Linked DNA regions of Arabidopsis thaliana. The protein of the gene in region 2 binds, or shares a complex with, the protein of the main gene of each other region. Each region holds a gene or a part of one and is shown on either strand. Other genes may lie near its edges.

Region 1 (6,954 bases), on a different chromosome or scaffold from region 2:
TATAGGTTGTGGATGAAACCTGAGTACAGATGCTACTGGAGGGCGATAGGTCCAGACACAAAGGTCGCAGTTGCATTTGGGCTAGTAGCCGGGAGAATATACGGCACAGATATGACAGTACGAGAAGCGCTTGACGGGCGAGGAGAAGCCTATAAGACACTTCTAAGAGAGGCAACAACTGCATTGCTCAATTCATACAACTCTCTAGGATTTCCTTATAATTCCGTCGCTGTGATCACATATACCAATCTGGCTCTCCTCGGGAATTCGGAACACGATGTCCTCATGACTGCTATTCGTTTCATCAAGGCTAATTCCGGGACCTGCAGATTCACAGTCTGCAATTGATTGAATGTGTTTTCAATACTTATATACTCTACACTCTTTCTTTCTCTTTTACATTGTTCTTGGGTCCTTTTGTAATACTATAAAAGTCTATACCTGGATTCATTGGAGAATTTATGGACTATTATTGTATCCCTATTTATACTCGGCATTAAACTTAGTTGTTACAAAGCCTAACGTTCTAGCACTGTGAGCACTAAATGTTGTTATGATATAATGCATCAATGATTGGAGAGGGACATGAACAAAAGTAGATATGCTTCATTCATAAGGGAGATCACAAGGTCTTAGAAATAGAAGAAAAACAAACCACTGAGCTATTATATATCAGACAAGGAACGTGTTATGTTCTGGCTATTTCAAGACACAAACTTTCCTCCAACAATTGGTCTCTTGCTACCAGACAGATCCTGTTCAAAACCAAAGCACATCAACGCTCAGCAAAATCCATTAAGAGGGTTTCCAAGAAAACGAAAATATCGAAATCAGTAATCACAGTAAGATATAGAGATCAGATTGTGTACCTTTTCAACTCACTCTAACATGTTCTTGTGACTAATCGATTCCTAATACTCCAGTGCAAAGGGATGGAAGTGAAATCAGCCTAAATGTTTCTTAATCATTGTCCATATTGCGTTTGCGGGTAATAATAACTAAGTAGCTTCTTGAAGAGAGGAACAATCGCAACCATAGCAAGTTGGAGCTGCTCGGAGCTGTTAACACGAACACTTACTTGCCCTGCTCCTCTATTGTTCAGATTAGCACGAGCAATTAAATTAGAGGAACGTCCAATGGGAACCTGAGACTGTATGTTCCCTCCAATAGCAAGATCACCGTGCCAATCCATTACAGAAAGTCCAAGAGTAGTCAAAAACCGACCAAGCGGATAATCTTTATCTCTCAACTGAGCTTCCAAAGTACCACCATAAGCAAAATCTCCCCGACTAGTCATAGCTCCACCAGACATTACGATTCTGAACCATTTACTAGCAATAAACTTATCTTCGACTTTCAACCCCGCAGAAACCGAATCACCCAAGTGTGTTACAGAAAGACCAGCTGCAGCCTTGTTTCTCCTGAAATTGTTAAATCTCGTTTCGCTTCGAAGAGTATAAGCCAATTCCTTTCCAACAGTTTGCATGTCGAAACCTAGGGAAGTTGATTTACCCTCTCCATGTTTAACCGAGCTGGCCATTTCTAGCTGCACATTTGCATCCTTCTTGTCTTTTGTCACTTGACCTGAGACAGATATTGGTATTTTTTCTTTTACAACAAAGAGCCGTTCTGCATTCACACCTTCATAACCAATATCATGATCCCACCCATGAGTTTCCAGGACTGGCCTAACAAGCCACTGATTGGAGGAATCAAGGTACCGGTAGCGGTGAGTAGGGTTATCAGAGTCAAAAGACGCAGGTAGAGATAAATCTGGCATAGGAACTGGAACTGATGCAGGTCCACCACTCTCCTCTTCCACATTTTCACTATACCCATCAGGCAAATCTTTAATCTCTGCAGCAAATTTCTTAAACATCTTACGTCTCTTTCTTTCCTCTTTCATTTGCTTCTTCATTAAAAGTTTCTCTCGGTACTCCATTTCATCGAGATACTGCTTCTTCTGAGATTTACTAAGCGTAGCCATCTGAGCTTTAGTCAAACTCTTAAACGGAGGAAGCTGATCATACTCTGATTCTTCGTCTGAATCTGATGATTCTTCTAAATCATCTTCATCTTCTTCATCACCATACTGCTGTTCAGGAAGCTTAGGTTGTGGTCTTGATTGCAGAAGCGATGAAAGGAGAAATGGTAATGGCGGAGCCTTGGACCGAGCTGCAAATGGTCTCCCTGGAATATTATCTTGCAACTTCAAAAGAGCATTTGCTTCTGCTAGAATCTTAGATGCAAATGAGAGTAGCAACAAATGTGGCTTCCACACTTGGCCATTCGGTAATACTCTCTGGCCTGCCCGATTAGTCCTGCAAGCTGAGTGATTCTCAACTAAAGAAACAGGGTTCATGAGCCTCATATCTCCAGCTGCTTGGCGAATGGCCTGCTGGATGACATGAGAACGTTGTGTAACAAACATATCATAGCTAGAAGCAGTGCCATTTGGGCCATCTGGTGGAACAGAAGCGGCATGAGTCAAACCCACAATGGCATTAAACCATATCGAAGGACCAAAAACATCACTTATGGTGCGCAGGAGAGGCATGTCACCAGAATCTCTGCTTTGCATATCCAACCTATCAAGATATAGTACAATGTCAGGTGGATTCTTCTTGATGAAAGCCTTAACAGAATTCAGGATCTTCTCATTCTTGGCTTGATCAGACCAGGAAGGTAAGAGACCGGGAGTGTCAATCACCCGTACCTTAATTCCCTGAACCAAACCCTCAACATCTTGAACCCTCTTTGTCCCCATCTGGAATGCATCAGTACAAAATTTCACTTCATCAAATATAGAATTGATCGTTGCACTTTTACCAACCCCACTTTTTCCGAGAACCATAATCGTACAAGAAAAATCAAGTGGATCCTGTCCAGCAGCCTCAAGCTGTTCTGCCATGGCACTAGCGCGATCAAAACTAAAAGCACCAACACGGCTTCCATTTCTGCCCCTCAACTGCTCAGCCAATCCAAGCCTGTATAAAACCTGAGCAACAACAACATTATGCGGGGTTTGCCCTAGTCTATGTGCAAGCCTCAAAAATTTTACCCTGATCAACTGGAGCTTCTCGCGGGTCTCATCATGCTCATCAGCCTCTGTAGTGGTAGAGTCTTCAGCTTGCTGAAACTGATTGTGAGACCCATTCCCATTGACGCGAGACTGTTGAGGAGCACGTGATGCAGGTTCCAAAAGAGGAGAAGCACGACCAAGACCTGCTGGACGAGCAGGTGGTAATGCCGCAGGATTACTTCTAGACTCTGTTGGTGAAACAGAACTTACTACCTCAGGTTCTGTTTCCACATGTGAATTTTCTGTAATCTCTGGATCTACATGTACTCTGCTGCTTTGCTGCTTCTCAAGCTCCTTATTTGGTTGAGGACTCTGAACATCATGTCCTCCATTAGCACTTTGAACTGGTTTGTGTTCTCTACTAGTTACCCCAGGGGAGCCACTATTGCTGTGAACTTCAGTTGACTCAGGATATGAGTGCGGCGAAGAAGCCAAGTGTTGCTCTGGTTTTAAACAAGTACTGTCCCCTTCAGTCTCTCCCTTTTCCCCGGAACTAGATTCCTCCAATGGAGATGAAGTCACAGCACTTGATACTTCATTGTCACCTGAAGCATTAGTAACGATATTACTTGTGTAGGCGGCACCAGTCTCACCATTTCTTTCTGCCTCGGACTCACTGTCCATACATACTGAACCATTCTCAAATAGATCCTTACTTGTTCCTTCACCTTCCACAACATCTTGTTCTGTCTGTTTCTCAAATAGATTCTTACTTGTTCCTTCACCTTCTACAACCTCTTCTTCTGTCCGTTTCTCAAATTGATTTTCAGTTGTTCCTTCACCTTCCTCAACCTCTTGTTCTGTCTGTATGCCATCAACTCTTTCCTCCCAATTATCGACTTCAATGCCATCATTCCATGGTTCCTCAATCCCATCATCTTTAGGGATAACTTCAGCCACCACTTCTTTATTTTTAGGAGAGGCGATTCCATTTCCCAAAAAAGAATGAGTCTTTCCGTTTTCAATACCCACATGCTCAGCTGCTAAATTGGAACCATTAGTATTAGTTGATGTAGCATTCTCAGTGGTATCAACAACATCCAAGCTCGATTCAACTTTATCATAAGAACCACCTCCACCTCCTTCCCCCTTATCACCATTCATTTTAGTAGCCAAAACATCAAATTCAGCCTCTCCCGCACCATGGCTCTCTCCAACAGCCGTAAAATCTTTAACACCCCCTTCATTGCTACTCGTTTCATCCAAATCACCCACTGCCTCTTCAAAATCCTCCACTTCATGCTCAACCATAGAACTTTTAAGAGTTTCCACTAAAGGCAAATCATCAGATTCAAACAATTCACGTTTTGGATCCTCCTCCTCCTCCTGCTCATCATTCTCTGAACCAATCGCTTCCTCAAAAACCTCGTCCTCGTTATCATCCCTTACTTCATCAGATCTCACCAACTCATTCTTCACTACTTGCTCATCACTAATTCTATCCTCAGCAAGCTTCTTATCTTCCCTATCTGACCTAACCACAAACTCAGTCCCATCTCCCATTTTCTAGATCACCACCGCTACGGGAAACAAAAGCCACAAATACAATAATCAGAGATCAGAAATCACTCCAATTACCAACTACGCTTTAACCATCAATATAAATTCCAACAACCAAAAAAAAAAAAAAACGAGCACACAGCTAAAAGAAACCTAGATCAGAGTTAATCACCACGAATCCTAGAATCCTTATCCCTTACCAATTCCAGAAACTAAAATTCAATTGAAGTTAACCAAATCGCTTAAACACAGGTCTAAGCGGTGATAGGGATCTCCAAACATGGAAGAAGAACTTTGTTGATTACAGGAAACGAAAACCAAAACAGAAGAAAGAAGACGAAGAAAGAAGAAGAGAAATGGAGAGAAGCCTTACCAGAAGTTAGAGATAGAGAGAGAGAGAGAGAGAGAGAAATAGAGAGAAGGTGAAAAAGTGTGAAGATCCTTTCATGCGCTTTACCGGCTGCGAGCCTGCGACTACGACGGGGAAGGAGATAAGAGACGTTCATCAACGGTCCTGATCAGTTTGGGTTTAAGCATCGTACGGTTGATAATGACTCGTTGATGCAATCGTGAAATGATGCTGACGTGGACTATATAAAGTAGAGTGAGTGAAGCCGTGAAAGGGAATAGAAAACCCTCGTGCGTCAATTCGGTTTAACCAACCCGGTCTGATTCGGTTTGGTCTACTACAATTTTTTGTGTTCTTTCTAATGAGAAAAGTTCAGTCCCTTATTATAGAACCAATGAACGTTTTTTGTGTTAATCTTCAAAGGACAAAGAATGAAAACTCATAACAAATGATACATGAACTCAATAAGCTGGTGCAGCTACTAAGGAATCTTCCCATTACTCTTAGGTGAATCTAAAATACTTTGTCTGCTAATACACATCCAAGTTCTTGAAGACTCTTCATTGTTTTCGCATGAGACCGGGAAATGCCATGACCCTTTCTCTGATTCCTGATTTTGTCGAAACGTAATTGAGAAACTATCGAAACCGGAGAAAAAAAGGACTGAGATGGTAAACAAACCTGAATGACAACCGAAAAAGGAGACGGCATTTCAAGCTTCAGGTTACCTTTCACAAAAGTATACCGGACCTGTACCAAAACCATAAACCAAATGTTCTAATTGTAGACTTCTCAAAGTTGCACTTTTAGTATAAAAAGTTACATATTGTATATAAGTTTATATAACTTTACCTGATGTCTTTCTTTCCACTTTTGGAAAAAAGTACTCCCTAAGAGTTCAAAAATGTGGTCTCTCATCTCATCATTTGTCACAAGCAAACACTTGAGCTTAGCAGCAGCATACAGCCAATACCTGGAAAGGTAAAAAAAACAAAAGATGAGTGTAGTAACCAAACATTGTTTGTGTTTTTTGTCGAAATAATGGTGCTGAGAGAAGCTAAAAGTTCATACCAATCATCATTGGAACCTGGTGGAGTTGCATACAGGACACCGTTACTAATCCATTCTTCAACCAGATTCCGGTGAGTTGGGTTTTCTAAAAGCGTCTTGACCCGTCTCTTGTGCAATAGAATTAGGGGCCATTTGTTATTACCACTTTCACGGTAAAGTTCCTTCATCACAGATTCAAGCTGCTCTATCCCACATGTATGTGATATCAGTATAGCAAGGAATGGATTCTAAAAATATGGAGGAAGAAAAACAAGTACCCCAGAAAAGATGGGAGAACCTGTGAAAGACTGAAACTGCCATCTACAAAATTTTGTTGGTAGAGCCCAATATTTGCTCCATCTACTATAGCTTCGTAATCTCCATGTTTCTCAAGCCAGTCCTGCCAAATAAGATAGCAACATTCAACAAATATCGACATTTGAATACTCAAGATTGATGACAATTCGCAGCAAAAACTCCAACCAGTGTACCTATCTCTAAATGCTTATCATGCAATATTTAATGTCCAAGACTTATTATAACCAAGCTAAGAGAATCCCATCTCTAACCTGAAACTCGCTGAAGACCACATTTGTCTCACATGAATTCATCTTTGTCTTCCTATCCATAGCCAAAGCCACCAAAGAATCCACAAACTTCTGTGTTTCTACCTCATTGGTATCTACACAAGCTAACTGCTCACTGCAGCTCAAACATCTTCCTGTTGAGCTAACATTACCTTTCTTTACAGTCCATTTACCCTCCCCAACCCACCCATGCCCGTGCCACCCACCTCCATTATTCAAAACAGCTTCTCTAAGCATCCCAACATCAGAACCAATTCCATTATCACCAACCTCACCAGCTTTTTCTCCACAGAACCATTCCTCAATAATTTTCAAAGTTTCTTCACTAACGCAGCCAACATATTCCCTCAACTTATGTAAATATCTATAAACCTTGTTTTCTCGAC
Region 2 (4,901 bases):
GTCCCCGTCGCAGCGGAAACAGACCTTCTCGTCACAGGACCCAAATCTTGTCCCTGAGATCGATCAAGGGTAGCTTCACCGCGGCTCAGATCTCTACTCGTACCACCGGCTTCCCCAACACCACCGTTCGCAAGCGATTCGCTTTGAGGGTAATCAAAGTTTGATTTTTTCTCTCCGGCAAGAATCGGCGTCCGTCTAGTCGCTGCCGCCGTATTAGCGGTGATCGACACCGTTGATGCCGACATTTGATCTGGTTTGACTACACAATCGCACCCCTCGGATAAAAAACAAATCTTTACACTAATGTCGAAATCAGAACCCTAAATTCACTAGAGAGAGTTGGAAAATTCGAAAACTTTGTTCGAAATTGAGGAAAGAGTAAACGATCTTCTCTGAACCGTCTTCTCCGTTTGCCAAATTCCTCCTTTAAACATCGGTTTTTTTTTTCTTTAACTCAAATTTTTATTTTATTTCAAAACTTGCATCGCGTCAAAAATAACTGCAGCGGTTACTTTTACCATTAATGACAAAATGGAATTATCTCTTCTAATCATTTTCACCAAGAGAGTAGCTCTTAATTACGATTTACGAGAGGCTAAAGAAGATGTAATTAAGATGAGAGAACTTTGCGACAGTAATTATCTGTGAACCACATTTCTCGAGTTGTATCACAATTTCAACTACAGAACAATCTCTCAGATAGACAAACAAACCAAACAAAACTCGTGTCCACAACTCAAGACCTTCGACTTGCTAAACCGGAGTCTCGCAGCTCCCACGCCGGTTTACTCTCTCTCGAAACATCGGACTTGATTGCTCGAACCAATGGCTTCATCACCAGCAAGTACTGCATTTTCAAACCATCAAAAGATGAATAAATGATGCATGATGTTTTGATCAAGCCTTATTCTGTATTGTTACTGAATGGTTCAGAGGGGCTTACTTGGAATGCAAACATTAAAGGAATCAGTTTTTTTCCTCTTTCGTTTGGGTTTGGCCCTTCGACCAGTTTCTTGTCAACATGAATCGCCTTGTTGCCATTAAAAGAGATCTCTGTGATTTTGTTGAACAGATTGGGAATCCAACTAGTCCCGCATGGAAGAATCTGTCACAAATTTGGAAAATCCGACTTCAAGATTGGTCCAACTACTACAAGACGCGAGAAAAAGAGAACGTGGACAAAACCAATCAACTGACCTTTTCATCGCTTTCGTTCTTATGGCATCTTCCGCTGTTCTCAACAAGAATGACAGGAATAGAAAAACCCTACAATAAAAGATCAGAGGTAAGTGAGTCTATTAACTTGACTACTATCAAGGTCGTTACAGACATTTATGTAAGGAGGAAAAAACTATACCTGCAAATCCTGTTTCTTCAGTTGAGCGCCTGTCTGGATAACTTTTAGAAGAGCATTAGATCTTTTGGAGACAAAGTGGTTATAATTTAACCCGTCTGGTGGAGAGAACTGAGCATGGGTGAGAACAAGAGCAGACTTCTTCCATATCTCTTTACCAAATGCATCAGTTATAGCACCGACAACTTGCCTATCAAGGTCATCCACCCGGTACACATCCAAACGGTCTACGTATAGTAGCACATCTATAGTCATGTTGAGGAGAAATCTGTTCAAATTCAACATCCACGAATCCAAATTAATACAAATGCCACAAATGAGCCCCAAATTAGGAGAGTAACTCCTTAGACCTGGAAACAGTTCATCATACCGTTTTATAATGTTGATGGCTTGATCATTCACATATCCTCCCTCAATAAGACCAGGAGTGTCGATGATATTCAATGTAAATCCCGATCTTGTGCGAGAGACCAAGGTAGGCCTCAGTCCTTCAGACTATAAAGAGGGAAAATCACACACTTTCTATGAGAAAAATTAAAAGAAAGATAGCCAATAGTCATAAAGACAAGCCATGAGAAGAGCATTAAACTTGGCACCTGGAAAGTACTAACTGCAGCAGCTTTCTCGCCTATAACTGAATTCACAGTTGATGACTTTCCAACACCACCTTTCCCCATTACAAGGACCGTTAGCGAGCTCACATCCTACACCAGTTTTTTTTCTTTCTTAAATCTCTCTAAGACAAGAAGAAACAAACAGAAAGCAGATGAAGCTAGAAACAAGAAAGGAACCTCTTCTTTATACTTCCCAAGGATCTCGAGCAATTTAGATTGAGTAGCAGGTGGGAACTGCTGGATACCGATCCATTCACGAAGCGTTTGCAAAGCTGCCATGGACACAAATCCTTACCTACACTTCCAAGGAAAGCAAAAAAGGATCACAAAAGAGAAGACTAAATCATCTGCTAAGAAACTAAACAATCAGAAGACCAAAGAACAAAAATGAGTAATCGCCCATAAAAGAAAAAGTTGTCTGATTCCACTATCTGAATCAATCCTATAACTTTCTAGCAATTAAAGTCTCAGAAAATTAAAAAGAAGATAACTTTTTTTTACTAAGAACAAAAACCCTTAAAATCCATCTTCATTTGCCGTTGTCTCCATTAGTTTCTTTTTTCCAGATCTTTAAATGAAAATAATCTCATTGCTTTAGAAACGAACATGGCGCAAGTGGGCATACCAAAAACTAATAACTTAAGCACTAAACTAATCAAGTATTGAGAGATAATCAGAATCCTAAATCCTGAACTGGGGTCAAATGCCAATTTATCAAATGAGCATACTTCTAAGTGGACGAAGTGAAAACCAGATAAAGAAAGAAAACGAGAGAGAGAGTAACCTACCTGAGCTAGAGTTACTAGTGGCGGATATTCGTCGCCGGATTCGCTGACCTCGTATCAAATTAAAACCCTAGAACTGAAATTGACTTTTGAAGATGATTGATTGCTACAAATCTCAATACATGAAAGTACATTCCTTTCAAAATTCAACCGGACTAAACCGAATGTCGTCGGTCTGCACCAATGACGAATTTGCCCTTTTGGCATTTTTTCTTCCATTTACTGGGTTGGAAAGCCCAATAAGGAACTGAAACGGCCCAGATTACTTGTCCTTGTTTTGTGGATCGTCTTTTCTCTAACACACACACCAGGATTTAATCTGAGACTCGTTTCATCTTTTTTACTCGGCGAGCTTGTGAAGAAGAAACTGGTGATTTCATCTCCTTCGATCACTCCCAAGGTATCGTCTTGTTCTCTCGCTCTTCGCCTTCACTGATGGTGATGATTTTCGTTTTCCTTTGAATGAATGTTCTCTCTGGCTACATTTCTGTGGATCTCCATTATTAAGAATTTTCTCCTCCTTCTAAATTTCGCGATCCTGTTTCATGAATTTGATCCGCTTGTGTTGATTTTGATTCTACAGTTATGTTTTTCGATTATGAGCCTCTGATGCTCGTAGATCCGCTGGATCTGCGATGAATTCTTTTTATATTTTCGATTCGCTAGTCTAGTTTCGTTTGGATTCGTGTATTCGAGATCTCTTCCTCTATTACGTGATTTATGATCCTGAAGATCAAATCCCGTTTGTTTCTTCTGATCTCGCTCTAACTGGATTTACTCTAACATTGGTTCTTTGTATTTCAGATTCGCATTACCTTTCTTATAATCGCCGAGATTGTTCGAGCCTGAATAATCAAAATGGTATTGACTTTTGTTCTATGATTGGTTTTTTTCTTTTTCCTTTTTAGTGCATCTTCGCAATTTGGTGTTAACTTTAGTGTTTGATGAGTGTCTGGCGCGTTTTCTAAAGTTGGAACCTGTGCTTTATAGGTTGTGCTTGCTGCTGCCATTGTGGTCAAGTCTGGGAAAGGTTATTTTCATCTATCTTTGACTTTGTCTTCGAATTCTCGTTTTTCAATATTTTTGCGTTTTTTCTAACTTTCTTCTTTTTTATGTAGTGATTGTTTCCAGACACTATGTGGATATGTCCCGTATCAGAATCGAAGGTCTACTTGCAGCTTTTCCTAAGCTGGTTGGAATGGGAAAGCAGCATACCTATATCGAGACGGAGAATGTGCGATATGTTTATCAGCCTATTGAAGCTCTGTTCCTGCTTCTTGTTACAACTAAGCAGAGTAACATTCTAGAAGACCTGGCCACCCTTACTTTGCTCTCCAAACTTGTATGCTTCTTTCTTTCTTTCTTTCTTTTTTTTTTACTTCTGCTACTTTATTTGAGGAGATTATTGCCTTGACTCTGGATGTGTACTGGTTCTTAGTTCTTTTGAAAAGTGAGTGTTCCAAGTGCTGTTTGATCATTTGATTGTTTCTAGGTACCTGAGTATTCCATGTCTTTAGATGAAGAAGGGATTTCCAGGGCATCTTTTGAGCTCATATTTGCATTTGATGAAGTCATATCTCTTGGGCACAAGGAAAGTGTGACAGTTGCCCAGGTGAAGCAGTATTGTGAAATGGAAAGTCATGAGGAGAAGTTGCATAAACTGGTTATGCAGAGCAAGATCAATGACACTAAGGACGTGATGAAGCGTAAGGCTAATGAGATTGACAAAAGCAAGGTACATGACAGGAGCGCACCCTGCTGTTGTATTCTATTTCTGTAACTCCTATTAATATTTCTTATGTAATTCCTAGATTGAAAAGAATAAGCCAGGAGGATTTTCGTCCATGGGTTCAATGGGATCTGGAAGACTTGAAAGTGGTTTCAATGAATTGAGCATATCCAGTGGTGGCGGCGGTGGTTATGGAAGTGGTTCTGGGTTTGGCATGATTTCAGATGTCGACCCTATCAATACCAAACCAAAAGGTTAGTGTGCTTTAACTAGTGGATCATTCACAAATGACCGTTCAATCCCAAGTATTCAAATCAAAATGCCCTTCCATCTCGGGTTTCTTAAGCGCCTCTATATATATATACTTGATTTCGATTAGATAATCTCTTTGTTTTGAAATTCTTATCCACCGTGCTTAA
Region 3 (7,867 bases), on a different chromosome or scaffold from region 2:
CATTGCCCAATTTCTCAGTACTTTCTTTCTGTTGTATCCTCTGTTTTCTTTCAGTTATGTGAGTGTGTGTGTATGCTCTTGAGAGTATCTTTGGCAAAAACTATTTATCTAATCTTCAAGCTATTCTAAAATAAATCAATTAGTTAACTAATGCAAAGATTGCGATGTCTTAACTATGGAGATACTGACTAGTGAGAATAGTATGTAAGGACTTTAGTCTGGTGGAAATCTTACTTTGGAACGTTTCTCCTGGCGAAAGAAGTTGACTTAAGAAGACTTTGAACGTTCTTATCCTTAAAGTTTCCTTGCTTTGTCATGTCTGAAAATGACAAGTAAAATATAGACGTAAGCTTCAAATCAGACAAAACAAAACACATCAGATTTCTGGACCTATTCACCTCTCTATAAATAACAGAAACGGTTAGAGCAGCAAGTTTGTGTTTTTCACCATCAATTTTGTACCTTGACCGCCGTAAACGCAGGGTGAAGAAAGTCCACCTAGTGTTTATCTCCAACTGTTTGCTCGTCTCATTACTCTGATGACTTTGTGGCTACCCAAAGAATTGCGAGTAAAGCCAGCCATATATTTGCAGACTCTGGTCATCCTTTAAGTTAGAGGCTTTGCTACATCAAATATTCACATAAACCATAAAGATTAAGTCCACCAAGAAATATCCTTTATTCGGAGTTTTGTCTGCTAGTATCATCAAGTTTACTTCACCACGATACTCCAATAGTTTCCAGATATTATATAAGAATGAAAATCTATTACAAAGCATTTTTATAAAAAACATACCATTGCCTTCAAGGGACCAAGGAAGAACAGTAAGATCCTGGTGAAGAACACAATGAGATGAGGGTTCTAGTACAAAATCTTATCAACAGTTACAGGCTACGCACCTGCTTTAAAGATTCTTCACCGAGTGATTTGTATCTTCTGCAGAAATTTAGTAACAAATTAGCAAACTCAAACCAAGCAACATCATTAGCATGAGACGTAGACCAAAAGAAGACTGAACTAGATTCCATTATCTGAAGAACAGCAAGAGAAGCTGAGAAGGGCTAATGAAAGTGAAGAATTACTGATACATGATAAATTAAATCCGATGGGAACCTCTCAACAGAACCAAAATACAACTTTGATAAACTTCAACAAAGTTTTTATTAAAGTGGGGGAAAAACATGAACTAAAAACCAGTAATAAAAGAAAAGATCATTCTGCAGCATTCATCAGCATATTTAGTACATGCTGTACTTGTCGTTCGTCGCTTCGGGTCGAATGCTCTTGTAGATGGACATGGCAATTGGAAGAATGGCTGTGAGAGCGATTTGCAACTGATCCGAGCTGCTGGTTCTGACTGTGATCTGTCCGCTCATCTTGTTGTTAAGTCCTGCACGAAGCGCAATCTTTGAGTTCCTTCCAACAGAGACTTGAGATTGGAGATTGGCTCCAAGGGCTAAATCGCCTCTCCACTTTACCAGAGACAGCCCAAAAGAAGATTGGTCCTGTCCAATTGGGAAATCAGCTTCCCTAAGCCTGACCTCGAGGTTCGCACCATAGGCCGAATCTCCCTGTGATCGCATTGTCCCAGTGCTGCCCACAAGCACCAACCTTTTCCCCAGTGCTATTTGGTCCTCGAGTTTGACCCCAGTGGCGATGTTCTCTCCCAAGAATGTCACTGACCCTCCAACAGTTGTCTTGTTCTTCCTCAAATTCTTGAATTTGGTTTCTCCTCTGACCACATATGCCAGCTGCTTGCCTACATTCTGAATATCGAACCCTGCCATGGTGGATCCATTCTCCCCGTGCTTAGCAGACACAGAGGAGTCCAGATGAATGTTGAACTCTTTCTTGTCCTTGGTGACTTGGACAGTAGCTGTGGCAGGGAACCGGCTAGCTAGAGCAAGACTGTGTTCTGCATTGACGCCGTCATATCCACAGTCATGGTCCCAACCATGGGTATCCAACACTGGCCTGGTTAGGAGTTGTGAAGTGGGTTCCAGATATCGGTATCGGTAAGCTGAGTTATCACTATCAAATGAAGGTGGCAAAACCATATCGGGTAATGGAACTGGCACTGCAGCTGGAGCCCCGTTTTCTGGATCATCTTCTTCTCCCGGATAACCAAACTCACTTTCACCCAGCTTCTTCCCGTTTTTCTTCATTTCTTTCATCCTCTTTAATTCCTCTCTCCATTGCTTCTTCTGCAGGAGCTTTACACGGTAATCATACTCCTCGAAATATGCCTTTCTCTGTTCATTTGAGAGCTTTGCAAGTTGGGTTTTTCGAAGAGGCTTAAATGGTGGCAGCTGGTCATACTCATCATCTTCCCCATCTTCCTGCTCAGAATCAGACACATCATCAATTTCGATATCAGAGTCAACACTATCACCACCTTGGTCTCCAGGGAGCTTAGGATGTGCACGGGACTGCAACAGCCAAGACAACAAGTAAGGGAGAGGCGGGGATCTAACTCGGAAACCAAATACTTTACGATGGTCCAATGGTTCTTGAGGCCTCAATAGAGAATTTGTTTCTGACAAAACCTTCAGGGAGTAACACAATAGCAACAGCTGAGATCTCCAAGTTTGGCCATTCGGGAGAACCTTCACTCCCTCCCGGTTCTTCCTACACAAGGGGTGATTCTCAACAAGTGAAACTGGATTCATCAGACTTGGATTCATCAAGCGTAGATCTCCAACAGCCTGTCCTATAGACTGTTGCACAATATGTGAGCACTGCGCTACAAACACATCATAGCTCAATGGGGTGCCAGATGGGCCATCAGGAGGGGCAGAAGCCGCATGGGTCAATGTCACTATAGCGTTTTTCCATATGGATGTACCAAGAGAAGCAGTAATCGTCCTTAGCAAGGGCAAATTGTTCAAGTCCCTGGTCTGGGTGTCAAGACGATCTACATATAGTACAATATCAGGGGGACACTTCTTCATTACCTTCTTTACAGAGGACAACATTTTTGCATTTGTACTTTGATCCATCGCAGCAGACTTCAAACCCGGAGTATCAATAAAGGTAATCTTGACACCATTCACCGTTCCAGAAATTTCTCTAACCGAAGTGGTTGAGAGCCCAAAAGCATCAATGGACGCAATCTGGTTTCCCAAAATGGAATTTATAGTAGCACTTTTTCCCACCCCGGCTTTTCCAAGGACCAGTATGTTTAGGGAGAAGATCAATTCTTCGTTGCCCTCAGCCTCAGACTCCACAGCCTTCTTCTTTGCAGCATCAAGACTGAATAACTGCCCTGCTTGTCTCCCAGCAAGTAGTGCAAGACGGTAAAGAACCTGCGCTGCAATTGAATCTTCTGCCGAATGACCCAACCTTTGCAAAAGCCGCAAAAACTTCACACGGAGGCTTTGCAACTTTTCTAATTTCTGTTTCTCTTCCTCGCTCAAGTTAATCTCAGTCTCATCTGCCATTGTGACATTAGAATTGGAAAAGATGTTGGAACGGTTTGCACGTGGAGCTGCTGCAGGCTTCAAGGGCCTTAACGATGAACTCAAACCAGCAGGTCGATCCATAGAGAAAAGCTTCGTGCCATCCTGAGATGTTATGGTAAAATTGCCACCTTCTGAACTTCCACCACCAGTGGCTGCCTTCAAAAGCGCAGCCAAAGCTGCAGTATCAAACATTTTCTCCTCACCTTCATCCTCTGTGTCTACATCCTCGTCAGAATCGGTGACAATCTGGCCATCAATCCTATCTGACATATTGTTAGAAATGTTTGCTTCATCAGAATGTGCCTCTATACCAGAAGAAGCCTTTTCCAACTCTGCTAAGAACTGTTTTGCAGCTTCAGAACTCCCAAATATCATCTCTTCAGTTTCTTCTTCACTTTCAGACCCATCAACCCTGGTAACACCTTCGCCAGAAGGTTCCTGGTCCACTTCCTTGCCTCCAAAGCTAAACTCACGAGAAGAAACAATGTCTTCGACTGGGAGCTTGTTTTCATCCTCTTCAGCACTGTCCCCTTCGACAACTTTCCGAACCTCAAACTGTGACTCAGCTGCAGGAATTGAATCCTCTTCTGCATCAACTGAACCCACTTTTAAACTTTCAGAAACAGGCAATTCTTCTACTTCCACACCTACTTTTGGTTCGTCTGGCTCTACTTTGGCAGCCTCTGATATTTCCTTAACAGCCAATTCAAAATTTCCATCATATGCAGCAGTCAGGTCATCAGGTTCCTCAATATTTGAGATGGTCTTGTCAACCTCATCATCTTTATCATCTTCCTTAATTACAGCCTCCTTAGCCGCCCCGACAACCACAACCCCTGGCTCTGCAACATTGATATCAGCATCAACAGAGTCCACCACAGAGGAGTCAACCATAGAGTCTCCTTCACTAACCAACTTTCCTCCTCCCTCCTCTGTGGCTTTATCGGATTCAAGTTCAACTTCACCACCTTCACCTTGGCCAATTGGATCAAACTTATTATGCACATCAGGGATGTTGCCATCAGTTTCCAGCACCTCACTCACCTCTACGTCTCCAACAACAACAACCCCTGGCTTTGCCACATCTACATTCACAGCTTCAATAGCAGATGAGTCCACCACAAAGTCTCCTTTGTTGTTTAACTTAACACCTTCTTCTGCATCATCGACTATGCCACCGAGCACACTCTCCTCCTCTTTGGTTCCATTGTCAGCTACTGCACTAGCTGCCTTGATTACTTCAGCATAAGTCATACCCTTCTCCAATCCGTTGGCTTTTTCCACATCCTTTGGTTCACTCCCACTCTCGGCAGCTACAACCTCTGGCTCTACAGCACTGGTATCCACAGATTCTAACTTAGAGGAGTCTGCAATAGAGTCTGATTCGCTAGTAAATTTTTCTTCTACCTCCTCAATGGCCTTGTCAGACACAGGTTCAAATTCACCACTATCATCATCCCCAATTTGATCAAACTTATTAGCCACTTCAAGAGTTTCAGCATCAGCATTAATCTTCAACTCCTCACTTCCCTCTGCGTCTCCTACAACAACCACCCCTGGTTTTGCCACATCAACATGCACTGATTCTACAGGGGACGAGTTCACAATGACGTCTCCTTTATCAGTTAACTCCACACCCTCTTCTTCAATAACATTATCACTTTTATCGTCAACATCAACTTTTCCACCCAACTCACTCTCCCCCTCATCATCTTTTTTTGTTCCAACATCTTCTTCTTCCACATCCTTCACTTTACTCTCACTCTCCCCATCTGTGGAAGCCTGTTTCACATCAACATCAACACTCCCATTTTCAATCTTACTCTCACCATCGTCTTTAATATCCTCCACGTCCTCCTTAACCTTCTTATTCTCCTCCACAACCCCTACACCATCAGAAACAGCCTCCGGCTTCGGAGATAACGATGAAACATCATCTACACCAATTGTCTCACCAGAAACCACCTCAGGCTTCGGAGTAGCCTCAGGAGTAGTAGAATCCTCCTTTAAAGAACCATCCACCTCGTCGGAAACCTTCCCATCACCCACCAAATTCGGCTTCTCCTTCTCGGAGTCAGATAAATCATCAGCTCCAACCTTATCCGAATTACCAGACACAGCCTCCGATGAGGAATCCAACTCCTTGGCACTACTCACAGCACCACCATCCTCCTTATCGGCGGCTGCAGCAGCAGCGGCGGCGACAACAGAAGCATAGGTTTTTCCTGATAACAAAATATCCTTCCGATTAAAACCCTATTCCCAAAAACGCAGATTAAAGAAGATATAAACGAGAAAGAAGAAAAACCTGATTGCCCCGAAGAAGCGTAGAAGGGGTTGGTTGGTTCTGGAGTAACCGACTTTGAGTCCATTTCCGCTTTGCTACTGAGACTCTTTCTCCGCCAAACTTGTGGAGGAAGGAGATAGCGATAGATAGATAGGGTTTAAAGGAATTTACCCTTTTTTGTGTGAAGGTTTTTATGATTGAGAATTTGGCTGCTCTCTCTCTTTTGAAGAAGAGAGAATTGGGAGAGATAAGGTCACTCGGCGAACAAAAAATGACTCTTCGTTTTTCTTCTTTGCCTTGGGATTTTATCTTCTCAGTTTGTGTTTTGAGGATGATGATGAAATTACCGAATTACCCTCGCTTCTATGTTGGTGAAGTTTCCAAGAGGGCTCTCTTTTGTGCTACGCTTTAAACTGTGTCGCTTCATTGGCTCAAGCCAAAATATATAGAGTTTCTTTTTTTATTTGAGGAAGAAGTACAATAATCATTTGTGGTTAAAATTTGAAAAACATTGTATCATTTTAAAAAACAGTAATTTTTTTGTCAAGAATTTTCAATTTTTGTTGAGTAAATTTAGAATATTTTAGTCACTTTTTGGAAAGTATTTACTGTTTAATATTTTGTTTTTATTATGCACAATTCTCCAAATGTTAAAATCTTCCCCAATGGAAAATGTTTTGATGGGCTCACTAAATCTAGGGTTTTTGAACTCATGAGAATTAGGGTTTTGTTATATCTTCTCTTTACTAAAAACCAAAAAAACCACACAACAACAAAATAAAATAAAACATTTAAAATAAAAAACGAGATAACATTTTGAGATTTGGGTTTTATAAAGAAGAAAGAAATCTTTTTTGTATCTTTGTTGATCCTCCCTACCCGAAATTGCTTGGCCACAAACGATTTTCTCACCATTATCTACGAATTATCTTGGATTTTTGTATAACACGGATTCCATATATTAGGCCGTGATTTTAGTTTTCAGATGGGCTTTTATAAGGCCTCCCCCTAATAATAGCCCGTATACATGATTTTATTATCAATTAAAGACATTCAGATTTCAGATACAACAACCCATACTGCAAAAGAATCTGACCACATGCCAAATTTTGTTTTTCGAATTAAACTCCTAAACTACACAAAACTTGTGAATATGATCTCAGAACTATACTAACTCAATGTGATTTTTTCACATTTTGCATACTAAAAGTAAATAATTAGTTGAATGTGAAATCAGGTTAAAAAAAAGTTCTTGAATTAACACAGATTATTGATCCATGAAGCTACAAAATCTCAAGTTCTAATGGATTACAAAGAACAAAAAGGAAGAAAAACAACATTTTGATTTCGTAATAGAACTCTAGACGTAGAGACAAAGTAAAACCAAAGAATTAACTGATGTCTCTGCACAATACTTTATCATCCATCTTAGTACAACAACAAGCAAAGACACAAGACATAAATATAGCGAGAAACATAACACAAATCCTAAACGCAAAACCGATTCAAACTTGATTGGTTTGTACCTTAACCGCCTTAAACGCCGGATGAAGCAACCCGAGCTCGTCTTTCATCTCCAACGGATTGCTAGTCTCGTTCCGCACTCTCTTGACTTTACGACTAGCCAAAGATTTGTGAGTGAAACCATAGATTTGCAGAATCTGGTTATCTCCAAAGTTAAAGGCTCTGTCCATTTGTTTTAGACACCGTTCCACCGGGTAATCACCAAATTTCCCACACGGTTTGCAACCGACAAAGTGAGTCACCAATGGCCATCTGTGATCTCCTAGACCCGGGTGGTAGTTTTCTATCATTTCTTCATATCTGTCCACAAGAATCCCCCAGTAACCGTGAAGATAGTATCCACTTTCTAGGTACACCTATAACAACAATGCAGTGGCTCAAATGAGTAGCTCAACAAAATCCAAACCAAGCAAAGATTTGAGTTTACTTCAATAATAGACCCTTACACAGATGTCAGAAACCACAAGATGCAACTCACATTGTCATTTTTGATGATCAAGAGACATGATAAACCACAAAAAGCAACTCACATTGTTATTTTTGATGTTCAAGAGACATGATAAACCACAACAAGCAAACCACAAGTTTCCAAAT

Evidence for each region. Proteins that work in one complex are often made in the same cells at the same time.
Region 1: TOC34 (region 2) and TOC132 share a complex: the UniProt entries of both Arabidopsis thaliana proteins name them as parts of the TOC core complex.
Region 3: TOC34 (region 2) and TOC159 share a complex: the UniProt entries of both Arabidopsis thaliana proteins name them as parts of the TOC core complex.

Annotation. Positions count from the first base shown.
Region 1 is NC_003071.7:7,210,525-7,217,478, forward strand, and holds TOC132 (multimeric translocon complex in the outer envelope membrane 132), read right to left. Parts: upstream 5,094-6,954; 5' UTR 4,956-5,093; exon of another isoform or gene 4,603-4,955; 5' UTR 4,586-4,602; coding exon 965-4,585; 3' UTR 870-964; intron 756-869; 3' UTR 535-755; downstream 1-534. Other genes in the region: AT2G16630 (Pollen Ole e 1 allergen and extensin family protein), read left to right, coding at 6-348; PRORP2 (proteinaceous RNase P 2), read right to left, coding at 5,413-5,541, 5,613-5,681, 5,784-5,904, 6,003-6,181, 6,280-6,381, 6,551-6,954. UniProt on the Arabidopsis thaliana protein: GTPase involved in protein precursor import into chloroplasts. Seems to recognize chloroplast-destined precursor proteins and regulate their presentation to the translocation channel through GTP hydrolysis.
Region 2 is NC_003076.8:1,473,526-1,478,426, forward strand, and holds TOC34 (translocon at the outer envelope membrane of chloroplasts 34), read right to left. Parts: upstream 2,910-4,901; 5' UTR 2,757-2,909; exon of another isoform or gene 2,264-2,756; 5' UTR 2,248-2,263; coding exon 2,146-2,247; intron 2,059-2,145; coding exon 1,951-2,058; intron 1,850-1,950; coding exon 1,725-1,849; intron 1,623-1,724; coding exon 1,358-1,622; intron 1,267-1,357; coding exon 1,198-1,266; intron 1,106-1,197; coding exon 944-1,105; intron 848-943; coding exon 737-847; 3' UTR 502-736; downstream 1-501. Other genes in the region: SUN1 (SAD1/UNC-84 domain protein 1), read right to left, coding at 1-245; AT5G05010 (clathrin adaptor complexes medium subunit family protein), read left to right, coding at 3,612-3,614, 3,744-3,783, 3,872-4,095, 4,246-4,488, 4,565-4,736. UniProt on the Arabidopsis thaliana protein: GTPase involved in protein precursor import into chloroplasts. Seems to recognize chloroplast-destined precursor proteins and regulate their presentation to the translocation channel through GTP hydrolysis.
Region 3 is NC_003075.7:1,102,733-1,110,599, reverse strand, and holds the start of TOC159 (translocon at the outer envelope membrane of chloroplasts 159), read right to left. Parts: upstream 6,035-7,867; 5' UTR 5,835-6,034; coding exon 5,771-5,834; intron 5,688-5,770; coding exon 1,240-5,687; 3' UTR 901-1,239; exon of another isoform or gene 834-900; 3' UTR 797-833; exon of another isoform or gene 625-796; 3' UTR 463-624; intron 320-462; 3' UTR 235-319; exon of another isoform or gene 1-234. Other genes in the region: XT2 (UDP-xylosyltransferase 2), read right to left, coding at 7,255-7,629. UniProt on the Arabidopsis thaliana protein: GTPase involved in protein precursor import into chloroplasts. Seems to recognize chloroplast-destined precursor proteins and regulate their presentation to the translocation channel through GTP hydrolysis. Required for chloroplast biogenesis.